Linked DNA regions of Lonchura striata. The main gene of each other region encodes a partner of the protein of the gene in region 2 in a complex. Links are inferred from orthologs where the notes say so. Each region holds a gene or a part of one and is shown on either strand. Other genes may lie near its edges.

Region 1 (5,829 bases), on a different chromosome or scaffold from region 2:
GGCAGGTCCCATTACCAGAACACTGGCTTAAGAAAATTATCAAATTTGGATTATAAGGCACATGAACTTTTTAAACTTATATTAGTATATTGATATTTGAAATCCCATCACTCTGATATAGTTCTGAAGTAATGAGCTATAAAATACCATTTTAACACAAAAATACACACTTTGAGATTCTATTCTTGTGCAAACAAATGTTCCAAAATAATTCAGAATGGATTATTTTTGCAATGAAAGTAACAGTGGGCAATTTTAAAATATGCACTAAAGTTCTTACTTATAAATTGATCTGGCAACAATGAAGAATTAGTTTTTCTACCAGGACTTCACTAAGATGATTAATTATATATGATTAATACCTTTATAGATAATTAGTAACACTGGAAGCAAGTTTTGAAAGTTCTGTTTCATTCTCTTGATACTTGGACAAAAAAATTTCAATTGAAAATAAACCTACAATAAACTGGCAGGGAAATTTTCGTGTAGAGGAGAGCAATATGTGTGAAAACTGTGTGGAAAATGTTTTCTTTTTGTTGAAACCTTGTTCAACAGCCCAGAGTTGTAGAGGTGAACGAGACTAAAACAAACACTCATTCTAAAGAGCTCTGCCAGTAAATAACTTACAAAACACCAAAGATTTCCAAAAGAGTTTAATAAATAATGAGGTTCTTTCTGTACTGTATAAACTATAAATATACCATGCAGTCCTTTATAACTTAAAATAATTTACAGGCTGAGGTAGGGGGGTCGGAGGGCGTGGGCTCAGGGCCTGGCCGCCTTCCTGCTGAGCACGCAGACGCAGGCGGTGTCGATGCGGATGAACCTCCAGGCCGCCTGCTTGCCCTCCATGGTCAGGGCCTTGACGAAGGTGTGGGTGGTGGTGCAGTACGAGTTCCAGTGCTTGGCGTCGATGCCGCGGCACCCGCCCGACACCGGCTTGGGGTCCCTGCACTTGGTCTCGAAAAAGTACTGCTTAAAGACGTTGTTGTTGATGTTGACCTCGCCCAGCACCGTCACCTCCTTGCCCTTGATGTCGGTGGCCGTGGTTTTGTCCCCGACCCACATGCTGACGCTGTCGCACACCGAGAACTCCCCGCGGTGCAGCACGGGGTGCGTGCTCCTCCTGCTCCTGGCAGTCCTGTTGAGAGCCCCCGTGCTGCTGAGAAATCCCAAATTCCGGCCCTGCCCGGCCACCGGCGGGGGCTCCGTGCTGAACAGCACGCGGGGAGACCGGAAACGCCGCTTCCGAAAGATTTTGGGGTCCACGGTGATGTTTAGAGCTTCTCTCCTGCCGAGGCTCCACGTGGCGTGGCCGTGGGATGTCTGCGGAGCCTCCTGGGCAATGTGGGGTCGGTCGCTCCAGGTACTGAGCAGGGAGTGTTCTGCAGGAAACTCCAGTGGAGCATTGTCCTCTGACTTGGGAGCTGCCTGTGTGCCGATCAAAAAAGCTGCAGTCAGAGTGTAGAACAGCATGGGCATTACGTTCTGACCTAGAACGAGAGAGAAGGGCACTGTTACTGCAGTCAGAGTGTAGAACAGCAGGGGCATTACATTCTGACCTAGAACGAGAGAGAAAGGCACTATTACTGCAGTCAGAGTGTAGAACAGTGTGAGCATTACATTCTGACCTAGAACGAGAGAGAAGGGCACTGTTACTGCAGTCAGAGTGTAGAACAGCAGGGGCATTACATTCTGACCTAGAACGAGAGAGAAGGGCATTGCTACTGCGAGCCAGGTGGGCACAAACTGCTGCTGTTCTGGCCATACATTTATCAGATACCCAGGATCATACGGATTTCATCAGGTATTCATGTGAGTGCCAGATGTTGTTCTTCCGGAAGAGTTCATTCAGACAGCATCAGTGTTCTTAATAAAGCGAGAACATTAGAAAATAATAGCTAGATTATTATTAATTCCTCTGGTATTTGTTGTTAGAGCACTGTTTATGAAGCACTTGTTTGGTGTTATTAATGTGGAGACCATATGGTGACAGCATGTTCCCAGGAGTCAGATCTCTAGTGAGTTTTGCAGCAACCTTTTTGGCCTGGGCTGGTCTCTTGGCTGCACAGGAGTGAAAGTAGAAGCAGTCCCATGGCTAAAACAGCTATCCATTCCCTAAATTTGTCTGCAGAGGTGTTCTTGGGGCTACAGTGGGGGCCACCAAGCCAGCACCTCGTGCTATTATCATACCCTCAGCAGACACACTCACCCGCCACGTGGCCAGGCCCCACTGCTGGCTGGCTCAGCAGCCTCCAGCAGCTGCCTGCTCTCCCAGCTGCCCTTCCAGGACACACCACATCACTGAGTTAGGGCAGATAAAGCCCAGGCTCCTTCCTCCAAGAGCTCAGGTATCTGTGTCACAAGGGCAGATGGGATTTTTCCACATTCAAGGGCAAATATGGGAGCACTGTGGGTACCAAAGTACCTCTGTTTAGATACAGCACAGCTGTGTGGCCAATGTACTGTGAATTCTGGACAGAGAAACACCTGGTTTTTTTCAGAATGCCACGAGCAAGAAGTCCCCAAAAGTCCCTGCGGAGCAGATGCAGTGACAGTGCTGGTCCTCCTTCAATCCAGAGGACAGGGACATCTGTTTGGGTGTGGAAAAGGGCAAGCCAAATGTCTAAACCTTTGCTAAGACCCATTTCATGCTGGAAGATCAGCAGCACCAATACCTCATTGGGCAACTACCAGAGCTGACTAATTCAGCCACATGTTGGGAATGAGAGACATTCAAAAATGCTCTGGAATTGCAGTGAAGGGCAGACATTGTGTTTCCTCTGTAAAGACTTAATAAGAAGAGACAGGGTATAAACAGAAAATCCCGGGTGAGGCTCCTCCCCGTCTCTTTGCCTTGTTTTCCTGACATGTCTCAGCTGGCCCCGAGCGCTGCCGTGGCTGGCCAGCAGGCAGGGAGCCCCAAAGCCACTGGACAAACAGGGTTTTGTACCAGAGGAATTGGGCTCTGCAGTTCCACTGTGATTTCCCAGAATTTCTCTGTGTTTTTTCTGGGTGTGGGTCAATTATGGTTGCAGTTCCCCCTCTCTGTGGAGCTTTCTCAGATTAGAATCCCAAGCAGCACTAAAGGACTCGACCGGGGTGCTCTGCCAGAGCATAATCCTGTGGAAAATGCAGAACAACCCTAAGATGTCCCACAGGATCTCATGTGTCTTATCTCAGACAGGAGCTGAAATGACATAAACAGCAAGGTTTGCGCAGGGCTGAGCAAACATTTAAGGAGCCAGCAGGAGACACCAAGTGAAGGCAGTGACTGAGGAGGGGAAGCAGAGCCTGTGTGGAGAGGAGGAAGGAAGAGAAAGGCCAAAAGCCGTGTGAGCACTTGTCTGTGCAACTGTTGGGCTGGAGGCACTGGGGACAAAATGATGACGAGGAGAGAGTCAAATGTTTGTCACAGAGCAAATCCTTACTGTTCCAAAGGCACTTTAATTTGTTTAAAGCAAGGCTGAGGGTTGCTGCTTTCCCACGTGCTGCTCGTGCTGGAGCACTCGTCATCCTCTGTATAAGGAAACAGAGCTGGGTGTAGCTCGGAGCTGGGCTGTGCACCCTGCAGAGAGTAACCCCTTGTTCCACAACCAAACCAAAGTCAGATGGTTCATTGCATCTCTCAAGAGTCAGCTTTCCCGACAGAAATGTTAATGGAAAAGGTTTGCAGAATAAAATCCAGGCACAATTTAGCCATGCCAATAGGAGCCTCAGTGTATTGTGTTTATGCATAAACCCCTTTTTTATTATTTCCTTCTATAGGAAAGAGATGCTGCAATGTCAGCAACGAGCTGGTTCTGGTTTTGTGCTATACAAGATTTGCTGCTCTGAAATGCAGCTACATTTACCTCCCTTCTCTGGATTTCTTGTGTTGCCTGTGCTGAGATTTTTGATTTAAGGCCATTAACACAAAAGCAGAAAGATCTTGCCTGCTTGCCTTTTTTCTGTAATTGCCTTGTATTTCTTTTCCTTGTGCTAAATCATTATGCGGAGTATGGTCAAAACACAGACAGAACATATTTGGGGTACATGGTAACTTTTCTGAAGATTCCAAATGGAATATTTTTATCAGTTAGTGAGTTAGTGGAGAATAGAAAGTGACACATTAAAAAAGTGAACTCGATGACAACCCAGGCAAGAGAAGTTGATATTAAAGAACAGGTGTGCCTTGGGCTGTGAGGGTTGTGAACTCTTTTGCTGGCACACAGAGGTATTTTACAGGCTATTCTGGGGAGTTTTGGGGTGTCTCTGCCCATGGCAGAGGGGCTTGGAACAGGATGAGCTTCAAGATCCCTTCCAACCCAAACCATTTTGGGATTCTGTGTTTCTCTCTCCAGACTTTGTCACGTAATTAGTTATTAGAGCCTCTGATGGTGCTTTCTGGAGACGCTCACAGTGGATGCCTTGTGCAGCCACCTGCACTTGCAGGGGATGTGCAGCTGCCAGTTCCAGTGCTGGGGGTCCACAGTGTCTGATGGGAACCCTGGGCACAAAGGTTATCACAGGCATGGTAATGCCAAAATTACACCACCTGTGCTAACCCCACTTCGTGCTGGGCAAGTGTCATGAACCCTTCCTCTGGAGCAGCTGCAGTGGGAGCCTGGCCAGGGGTGACTCCAGGCTGCTGGGGCAGCGAGTGCTGGCTTACCTCTGCGTGGACTGCACGAAGAACTGCTCCCCCAGCAAGGTCCTTACTTCATCCAGAGCTGAGCCGGGCTGGGCTGCACCTTGCCATGGGGCCCTGCTGCTCCTGCCAGCTGCGTGTGCCACGGGTCACTAGGGCAGAAGGGTTGGTGTCAATAATCAGCCAGAAAATCAGTGTTCTCAGTGCCATTCCCATTCCCCCTTGGCAGCAGGAGCACAGGGACAGACCCCCTTGGCTTTCTGAGCTGTGCCTTTTCCCTGTCACAGCACCAAGTTTGTCCAAAGCAGTTCCAGACTTTGCAGAGCAGCACGTTTGTAAGACTTTGTGGAGTGGTTATTCCCACTCCTCTCAGGCACCTTGCAGGCTCAGCAAACCCAGGAGTGGGGCAGCAATACCTGATGGCACTGCACAGCAGCCAGGCACAAACCAGGGCTCATGGCCCCAACATCTGTTCTGGGAAGCAAAATTGGTTGCAATTAAATTCAGGAGGAGAAGCACAAATTGGCATTTATTGGCAGACAATTATCTGATTGTGGCTGATATTTGAGAAGAATTAAAGACACAAAACTCACAGGCACATAAAAGCAAATACTTAGGTGTTGTGTTGCTGCTGTAAGGGCAGCAATGACTCCGGTCTTAATCACTACATTGGGAATGGTCATCCAGACCCCAGCTAAAGGAAAACCATTCTTTTCTTCACCAATTAAATCCAGCACACTGACACCTTTTCAGCAAAACACATTTTCTGATTGTAAATTCATGGCACTGAATGGAACAGAAATAGTATTTTATTCATCTTATTATTCAATAGCTTATCTGCCCAATTTCATAAGGGAAGTAGGGGTTGGATAAGGTAAATAGGGGTTGTATAAGGTAAATAGGGGTTGGATAAGGTACTCCTGTACTGCAGAAATCCTGCTGCATCAGGCTGAAGTGCATTTGCTAAGGAGAACAAGCTGCTAACCAAAACATGAATTGGACTCACTTTCCACCTGCACAGTCTGTCAGTGGGAGCACTGGCTGCCAGCAAAGGCAGCCACTAGGTTTGGCTCTTACAACACCCAGGTGCAAGTTACTTGATGTTTAAACCTCCAGCTGAAACCTTCCCAGGCTGTTTCCATCAGTGCAGGACACAGGAGTCACCCTGTTACGTGCACAGTGGTTTGGCCACCGCCGTG
Region 2 (7,259 bases):
AATGGGAATGGGGATGGGAATAGGGATGGGAATGGGAATGGGAACGGGAATGGGAATGGGAATGGGATGGGGATGTGGACAGGGAGGAGGATGGTGATGGGATGGAGATGGGAATGGGAATGGGATGAAGATCAAGATGGGGATGGGTTGGGGACAGGGAGGAGGATGGTGATGGGATGAAGATGATGGGATGGAGATGGGAATGGGAATGGAATGGGGATGGGAATGGGAATGGGAATGGCAGGGAGATGAGGACAGGGAGAAGGATGGTGATGGCATGGAGACGGGAATGAGAATGGGATGAAGATCAAGATGAGGATGGGGTGGGGACAGGGAAGAGGTTGGTGATGGAATGGAGATGATGGGATGGAGATGGGAATGGGAATGGGAATAGGAATGGGAATGGGAATGGGATGAAGATCAAGATGGGGATGGGGTGGGGACAGGGAGGAGGATGATGATGGGATGGAGATGGGAATGGGGACAGGGACTAGGATGGTGATGACATGGAGATGAGGATGGGGATGCAGATGGGGTTAGTGACAGTGATGGGGATGGGGTGCTCCCCACTCACCCCACAGTGTACATGCCTGATGAGTGGGAGGTGTCCCGGGAGAAGATCACGGTGATCCGGGAGCTGGGACAGGGCTCCTTTGGGATGGTGTATGAGGGGGTGGCGCTGGGGCTGGTCACGGAGGGAGAGGAGACCAAGGTGGCCCTGAAGACAGTCAACGAGTTGGCCACCATGCGGGAGCGCATCGAGTTCCTCAACGAGGCCTCTGTCATGAAAGCCTTCAAGTGCCACCACGTGGTAGGTGGGCAGCTGAGGGAGAGGGAGGGGACACGGGGGCGTCTGGCCACTCACGTGCCAGCTCCCTTTGTCCCTGCAGGTCCGTCTGCTCGGCGTGGTATCCCAGGGCCAGCCAGCTTTGGTCATCATGGAGCTGATGACACGTGGGGACCTGAAGAGCTACCTGCGTTCGCTCAGGCCTGAAGCCGAGGTGAGGGGCTGCTCAGGTGCCGGGGGGACACTCACCCGGTGTCCGGGGGGGTCCTGGCGTGACCCTGACTCCGTGCACGGTGCAGAACAACCCCGGGCTGCCCCCGCCGTCGCTCAAGGACATGATCCAGATGGCGGGGGAGATCGCCGACGGCATGGCCTACCTCAGCGCCAACAAGTTCGTGCACCGGGACCTGGCTGCCCGCAACTGCATGGTGTCCGAGGACTTCACCGTCAAGATTGGAGGTGGGTGTGAGAAATAGATGCACAGAAAAGTCTCAAAACCTGATAAAACTGCGTCCCGTTCTGGGCCCCTCAGTTTGGGGAGGATGCTTGAGATGCTTGAGTGCGTCCAGAGGAGGCAACAAGGCTGGTGAGGGACTTGGAACACCAACCCTGTGAGGAACAACTGAGGGAGCTGGGGGTTGTTTAGCCTGGAGAAAAGGAGACTCGGAGGTGCATTTGTCACTCTACAACTCCCTGGAAGGTGGTTGTAGTCAGGTGGGGTTGGGCTCTTTCTCCAAGAACTGACAGAACCAAAGGACAGTCTCAAGCTGTCCAAGGGAAATACAGGTTGGATATTGGGAGAAAGGTTTTCACGGAAAGAGTGATAAAGTTCTGGAATGGCCTTTCCAGGGAGGTGGTGGAGTCACCATCCCTGGATGTGATTAAGATCTGGATGTGGCACTCAGTGCCGTGGTTTAGTTGAGGTGTTAGGGCAGGGGTTGAATTCAAAGATCTTTAAGGTCTCTTCCAACCTTGTGATTCTGTGAATTCCGTGAATTCTGTGAATTACATGAGAAGACTCGTATAGCATGTATCTGTATACAAACCTTGAGATAAGATAAGAAACTACCTTAGAAACACCACAGTCTAAGACAGACATTGTTGAGAAAAAGATTGAACTAGAAACAAGTTTCAAAAGATAGCCTGACATAAAAGACTAGATACTTCAGAGAAATGGAATTATGAAAGATGCATTGTAGTAGGACCCACGAAGAGTAATTTTAGATGATGAGCTGTGAGGCATTTACAACATAGTGTAGCTAAAGCTGATAGGCAAAAAACACTTAGAGTGTATTGTAATTAAGAAATCATTAGCTCCTGATTGTAATGGCGTGAATTATAACATCTGTATTGTCTCGCCCTTCTTATGAGACTGAAAATAGAATAAAAGTTTTTAAAGCACCTCTCAGCTGCCCCATCTCTGGGTCAGCAAAGGGCATCGCCCAACAGTGGGCGGGCAGCGGCGGGGCAGGCTGCTCACACCTTCCTCCTCCTCCTCTTCCTCCTCCGCCAGATTTCGGCATGACCCGGGATATCTATGAGACGGATTATTACCGGAAAGGGGGCAAGGGGCTGCTCCCCGTGCGCTGGATGTCCCCCGAGGCGCTCAAGGACGGCATCTTCAACACGCAGTCCGACGTCTGGTAGGTGCCGGGGTGGGCAGAGCCGGGGGGTCTGGGGATGCCCCGGCTGAGCAGCGCTGCTCCGGCAGGTCCTTCGGGGTGGTGCTGTGGGAGATCGCCACGCTGGCCGAGCAGCCCTACCAGGGCATGTCCAACGAGCAGGTCCTGCGCTTCGTCATGGACAACGGCATCCTGGAGCGGCCCGAGAACTGCCCCGACAAGCTGTGAGTGCCGCGGGGGCACCCCCTCACTGCCACAGCCGGCTGTGGGGAAGGCTGCCGGGGGAAATCCTCCTCTCTGCCGTGCTGGGAGCCCCCCGAAGCCAGCAGGTGCCCTCTCTCCACAGCCACGAGCTGATGTGCCTGTGCTGGCAGCAGAACCCACGCCAGCGCCCCTCCTTCGTCCAGCTCCTGGAGCGCATCAAGGACCACATGGCGCCTGCTTTCCGCACCCTCTCCTTCTTCTACAGCCCCGAGAACGGCCATCACGGCTCGGGAGAGCCCTCCAACACCGAGACACAGCCGCCCCCCGAGGAGGATGAGCCCCCCGCGTCCCCCCTGCCCGCACGCAAGGACCAGCTCCCCAACGGGACAGCCCCGCTCTGACCCCGGGGTGCCCTCGGACCCCGCTGGACTCTGCACCCCACGCCCTTCTCCTGCCACCCCCCACTGCTGGGACCCCCCCTGCATTATTTATTGCTTCCAAGGGCCCAGCCGGGGAGTGGGTGCCTTGGGAAGAGGGTGGCAGCAAGGCAAGGATGTTCCGTGGGGTGCATTGCCCCTGAAAATTAAATTGGGGGTACTCCGAGTCGGGGGGAGGGAGTGGGGGGCTGCTGGTTGGGAGGAGAACACCCCAGTCTTTCCTTACTTTTTTTTGGGGGGTGGGATAATGTGGGTATGGGAATGGGTAGCAGGGTTTGGCATTTGGGTCCCCCATCAACCTGCCCCTGTCATCGCTGCCCAGCTGCCTGGCAAGCGGGTCAGCCACCCCTGTGACCCCCACACCTTCCACAGGCGGGGAAACTGAGTCACAGCACTCCGAGAAGCCTGAGGTTGCCCTGATGTCTCTCCCCAGTCCCCTGCACTGGGACCAGTGCTGAGGCCGTGCTGGTCCATGGCAGGGGCGTCACTGCCTAATTTGAGTGCGAATAAAGGGGATGAAGCTCAGCTGCGGCGGTGCCTGGCTCGGGGGGGCGGCACACGATGATTCCCACTCCTCACGCCGCCGGCCCTATCTGCGTCCTGTGGCTTTGCCCTGCGGTGCCCAAACCGGGGGCGTTTCTCGAGAAAAACGTCAAATCAGTGGAATTTAGGAGGATGTGGCAACAGCCACTGGCCCGCTCGGCCGGGGGGGTGCTGGGGTGTCCAGTGGGGCCCCACGGGAGGTGGCCCCGAGGGAACCGTGGCCCTGTGGGTGCCGCTGGGGGCTGGCGGTGGAGATGAGCCGCGGGGGGAAGGGTGCGGGCTGAGAACGTGCAGAAATCAACGCTCGGATGAGCCACCCCCGACGTGCTCCCGAGCGAGTTCGGGGAAAAACAGCATCCGGGTGGGCATGGGGAACCCTGTCCTGCCCTGCCCCACCTCGGGGAGGAGGACGAGGTGGGTCCTGGTCGGAGGTGACAGCTGGGGACAGGGCCACTGTGCCACCAAACGTCCCCCCTGTCTCCAGCATCTCCGCGCCCCGACATAACGGGGTGCTGGGAAGAGCTCCTTCCAGGAGAGGCCATCACGCCTCGAGATTTGGGGGCACCCTCGGGGGAGGTGACAGCCTGGGGGGCTGTAGGTGGCCCCCGGGATGGCGATAAGCCCTGTCCCTTATGCTGCAGCCCGCGGCGAGGCAGGTCCTGGAGCGGGTGTGGCGTCCGTGCGTGTGCACGGGCGTGCTCCAGGAATTTTGGGGGAATTTTGGGAATCCAGCGGTGGGACGGATCCCCTCGGTGGGGCTGGGGGTGCAGGTGTAGGGTGCCAGCCTGCAGGGAGGGTGGCGGCAGGGCACGGGTAGGGCACAGGCGGGTCGGTGCCCGTGTGCGGAGACCCCTGCCCCGGGTCGGAGTATTCCCGGTGCCGGTGAATCACGGCCGGGGGTGTCTCGGGCCGGGGCGGGGGCGGTGCCGGGGCGGGGGGAGCCGCCGGCCCCTCCCGGGAGGCCGGTCCGTGCGTTGCTTTTAAGCCCCGCACGGCCCCGTGCTCGGGCTGCCGGGCAAGTGCGAGGGAGGGCGGCACCGGAGCAGCGGCACCGGCACCGGGACCGGCACCGGCCCCGGGACCGGCCCCGCGATGCCGCCGCTGCCCGCCTGGCTCTGCCTGGCCGCGCTGCTCCTGCCCCTGTCCCTGCCAGCCCCGGGCGCTGCCGGTGCCTGCCCCCGGCCCTGCCGCTGCCCCGGGGCCGGGATTTTGCTCTGCCGGGAGCCCGACACCGTGGGCAGCCTGGCCCCGCTGCTGGGAAGCGGCAGCTTCACCGACGTGTGAGTGGGGCCGGGGGCGATGGGGCCGGGGCTCGGGGTGATGGAGCTCAGACACCGGGCAGAGGCACCGGGACCGATGGGGCAGCGCGGTGGAACCGGGGGTGACGGGGTCTGGGGTGGGGGTGACGGGGTCTGGGGTGGGGGTGACGGGGTCTGGGGTGGGGGTGATGGGGTCTGGGGTGGGGGTGACGGGGTTTGGGGTGGGGGTGACGGGGTCTGGGGTGGGGGTGACGGGGTTTGATGGGGACAGAGCGCGGGGAGCAGGCAGAGGAGCTGGGGGTGACGGGGTTTGGGGGGGACAGAGCGCGGGGAGCAGGCAGAGGAGCTGGGGGTGACGGGGCCGGGGGATGCCGTGGTGCAGCGATGGAGTTGGCGGTGACAGGGATGGAGATGATGGGGTCGGGAGTGAGGGATTTTGGGGACCGGCAGGGGGGCTGGTGAGGGTTGTGGCTGGGGGTGAGGTGCTGTGGCTGGGGGCAGCAGAGCTGACGGACCGGGCAGTGCTGCGGATGGAGGGGATGAGCTCGGGGACAGGATGGCGGGGCTGGGCTGGAGCAGGGATCGCTGGACGGGCTGGGATCGCTGCGGGGGGAGAGCCTGGGGGCTGCAAAATGGGGTGGGGGGGCTGCAGCATCCTCCCAGGGAGCAAGCGAGGGGCTGGGGGCAGCTCTTCACCCCCTCCTGCGGCGATGCCAACCAGGGCAAAACGCTGAGGGTGCAGCAGGGACCCCGGGCGGGGAGCGCCCACGCCGTGCTGGGCAGGGCAGGGCTGTGGGCAGCCGCTTGTCCCCACCCTGCTGGGGGTGTCGCTGTGCCCTGGGGTCTGTGGGTTGGCATGCTGGGGGGGGACACACCCCACATTTGCTGCTTTGGGGCATCCACTCTGCTTCCCCCGCTGCAGGATGCGTGGTGGGGAGACAAGGGCTGGAGCGAGCAGAGATGGGAGGGTGCTGGGGGTGCCGGGGTGCTGCAGGCCCCCAAAGTGCCCCAATTCCTGGGGTTTCCCCCCACCCCACAGCGCTGCCTGTGCCGCATCGCTGGGGCCTGGCTGCAGTGTCTCCGTGCCTCAGTTTCCCCACGTGCCAGGGGATGCTGCGCCACAGGCGCTGCCAGCTCTTTGTTCGCTGGCTGGTGGGGTAGGGTGGGGTGGCTGGTGGTGGGGATGGTGGTCCCCGAGAGAACCCCGGCCGTCCCACTGCCCCAGCTGCTCTCATCCCACCCTCACGGGGGTCAGGGCGGCCAAACCCCCCTTGGTGTGGCTCTGAACCCCATTAACCAACCCCTGTGATCTGGGGCTCACAGCAGCAGCCTGTGGGGTGGGGCAGGGAAAAGCCCTGCTCCCACAGGGGCTTTTCTTCATCTCCTGAAGAATAAAGCGATGGGGGGACAGTGACAGCGGTGTCCCTGTCACAGTGCAGGACACCCTGGGGTGTGAGAAAAGGTGGGCACCCAAAGGGTGAGTGGGGCTGGGACCCAGCAAACTTATTCTGTGTGGACTCCCAGTGGTGGCTCAGCCCTGACCCCACACAGTTCGCACTGATCGGGGGCTCGGCACCACCGGGACCACCTGCTGCCATCCCCCCTTCTTCCCAGCTCATCCCAGGGGAAACTGAGGCACAGTGGGGTGGCTCAGCTCCATCCTTGTCCCCATCCCCGGCTGTGGGCACGGCCTGGGGAGCGGGAGAGCTCTCATGCCCCACGCTTTGCCAACAGCCCCGGGCATGAGGGGTCGTGGGCTGCCACCCTGAGCCCTCTCCTTTGCCTTCCAGCATCATCGAGAACCAGCCGGCGCTCACCACCTTGACCCGAGCTGACACCAGGACGCTGCGGGACCTCAGGAACCTGTGAGCAGCCCGGGGATGGGGTCCCTGCCCGGGGAATCGGAGGGAGGGAAGGGCTGGTGGAGGGGGAGGATCCCCAGGGCTCGATCGGAGCCACAGGGGCCGCTCCCAAGAGGGAGATTGGGGCTGCACAGCGCGGGTGCTCAGCCCTTCCCTCCTTCCAGCACCATCTCCAGGACGGGGCTGCAGCACATCTCTGCCGACGCCTTCCAGGACACCCCCAGGCTGAGCCACGTGTGAGTCTCCCCCTCCCCTCCGCTCGGGGATGGTCCCCCCGGTCCCCCCGGGGCGCTGGCCCCGGTGCGGGGTGGTCGGTCCCCGTGCCCGCGTGGGATCGATGGTCCCGCTGCCCACGGGCACATCGCGGGGGCGGGCGGGGCTGTGCTGCTGAGTGGGAAACCATCGATCTGGGCAGGAGTGCGGGCAACTGCCGGCCCCCCCGGCAGCCCTGTGCTCCCGAATCCCCCAAAAACTGGGGGGGGCCCGTCCTGGGCTGCACGGGGCTCCCCGCTGAAGGCTGGTGGCACGCCTGGCAGAGCCGGCCG

The links.
Region 1: the proteins of NTRK1 (region 2) and NGF are in contact, whole or in part, in a crystal structure (PDB 1WWW), measured with the Homo sapiens proteins. The link is inferred for Lonchura striata from reciprocal best matches to the Homo sapiens genes NTRK1 and NGF. Residues at the interface, in NP_002520.2 of Homo sapiens: His291, Val294, Glu295, Met296, His297, Cys300, Pro302, Phe303, Ser304, Leu333, Glu334, His343, Gly344, Cys345, Arg347, Thr352, His353, Met379, Asp380, Pro382; in NP_001424474.1 of Homo sapiens: His125, Pro126, Ile127, Phe128, Arg130, Gly131, Glu132, Phe133, Ser134, Ser138, Ser140, Trp142, Tyr173, Phe175, Arg180.

The regions. Positions count from the first base shown.
Region 1 is NC_134632.1:1,825,763-1,831,591, reverse strand, and holds NGF (beta-nerve growth factor), read right to left. Parts: upstream 1,490-5,829; 5' UTR 1,483-1,489; coding exon 766-1,482; 3' UTR 599-765; downstream 1-598. UniProt on the Homo sapiens protein: Nerve growth factor is important for the development and maintenance of the sympathetic and sensory nervous systems.
Region 2 is NC_134635.1:1,625,466-1,632,724, forward strand, and holds the start of NTRK1 (high affinity nerve growth factor receptor), read left to right. Parts: upstream 1-4,203; coding exon 4,204-4,261; intron 4,262-4,578; coding exon 4,579-4,873; intron 4,874-6,642; coding exon 6,643-6,717; intron 6,718-6,878; coding exon 6,879-6,950; intron 6,951-7,259. Other genes in the region: INSRR (insulin receptor-related protein), read left to right, coding at 582-811, 891-1,001, 1,087-1,246, 2,301-2,430, 2,499-2,633, 2,756-3,014. UniProt on the Homo sapiens protein: Receptor tyrosine kinase involved in the development and the maturation of the central and peripheral nervous systems through regulation of proliferation, differentiation and survival of sympathetic and nervous neurons.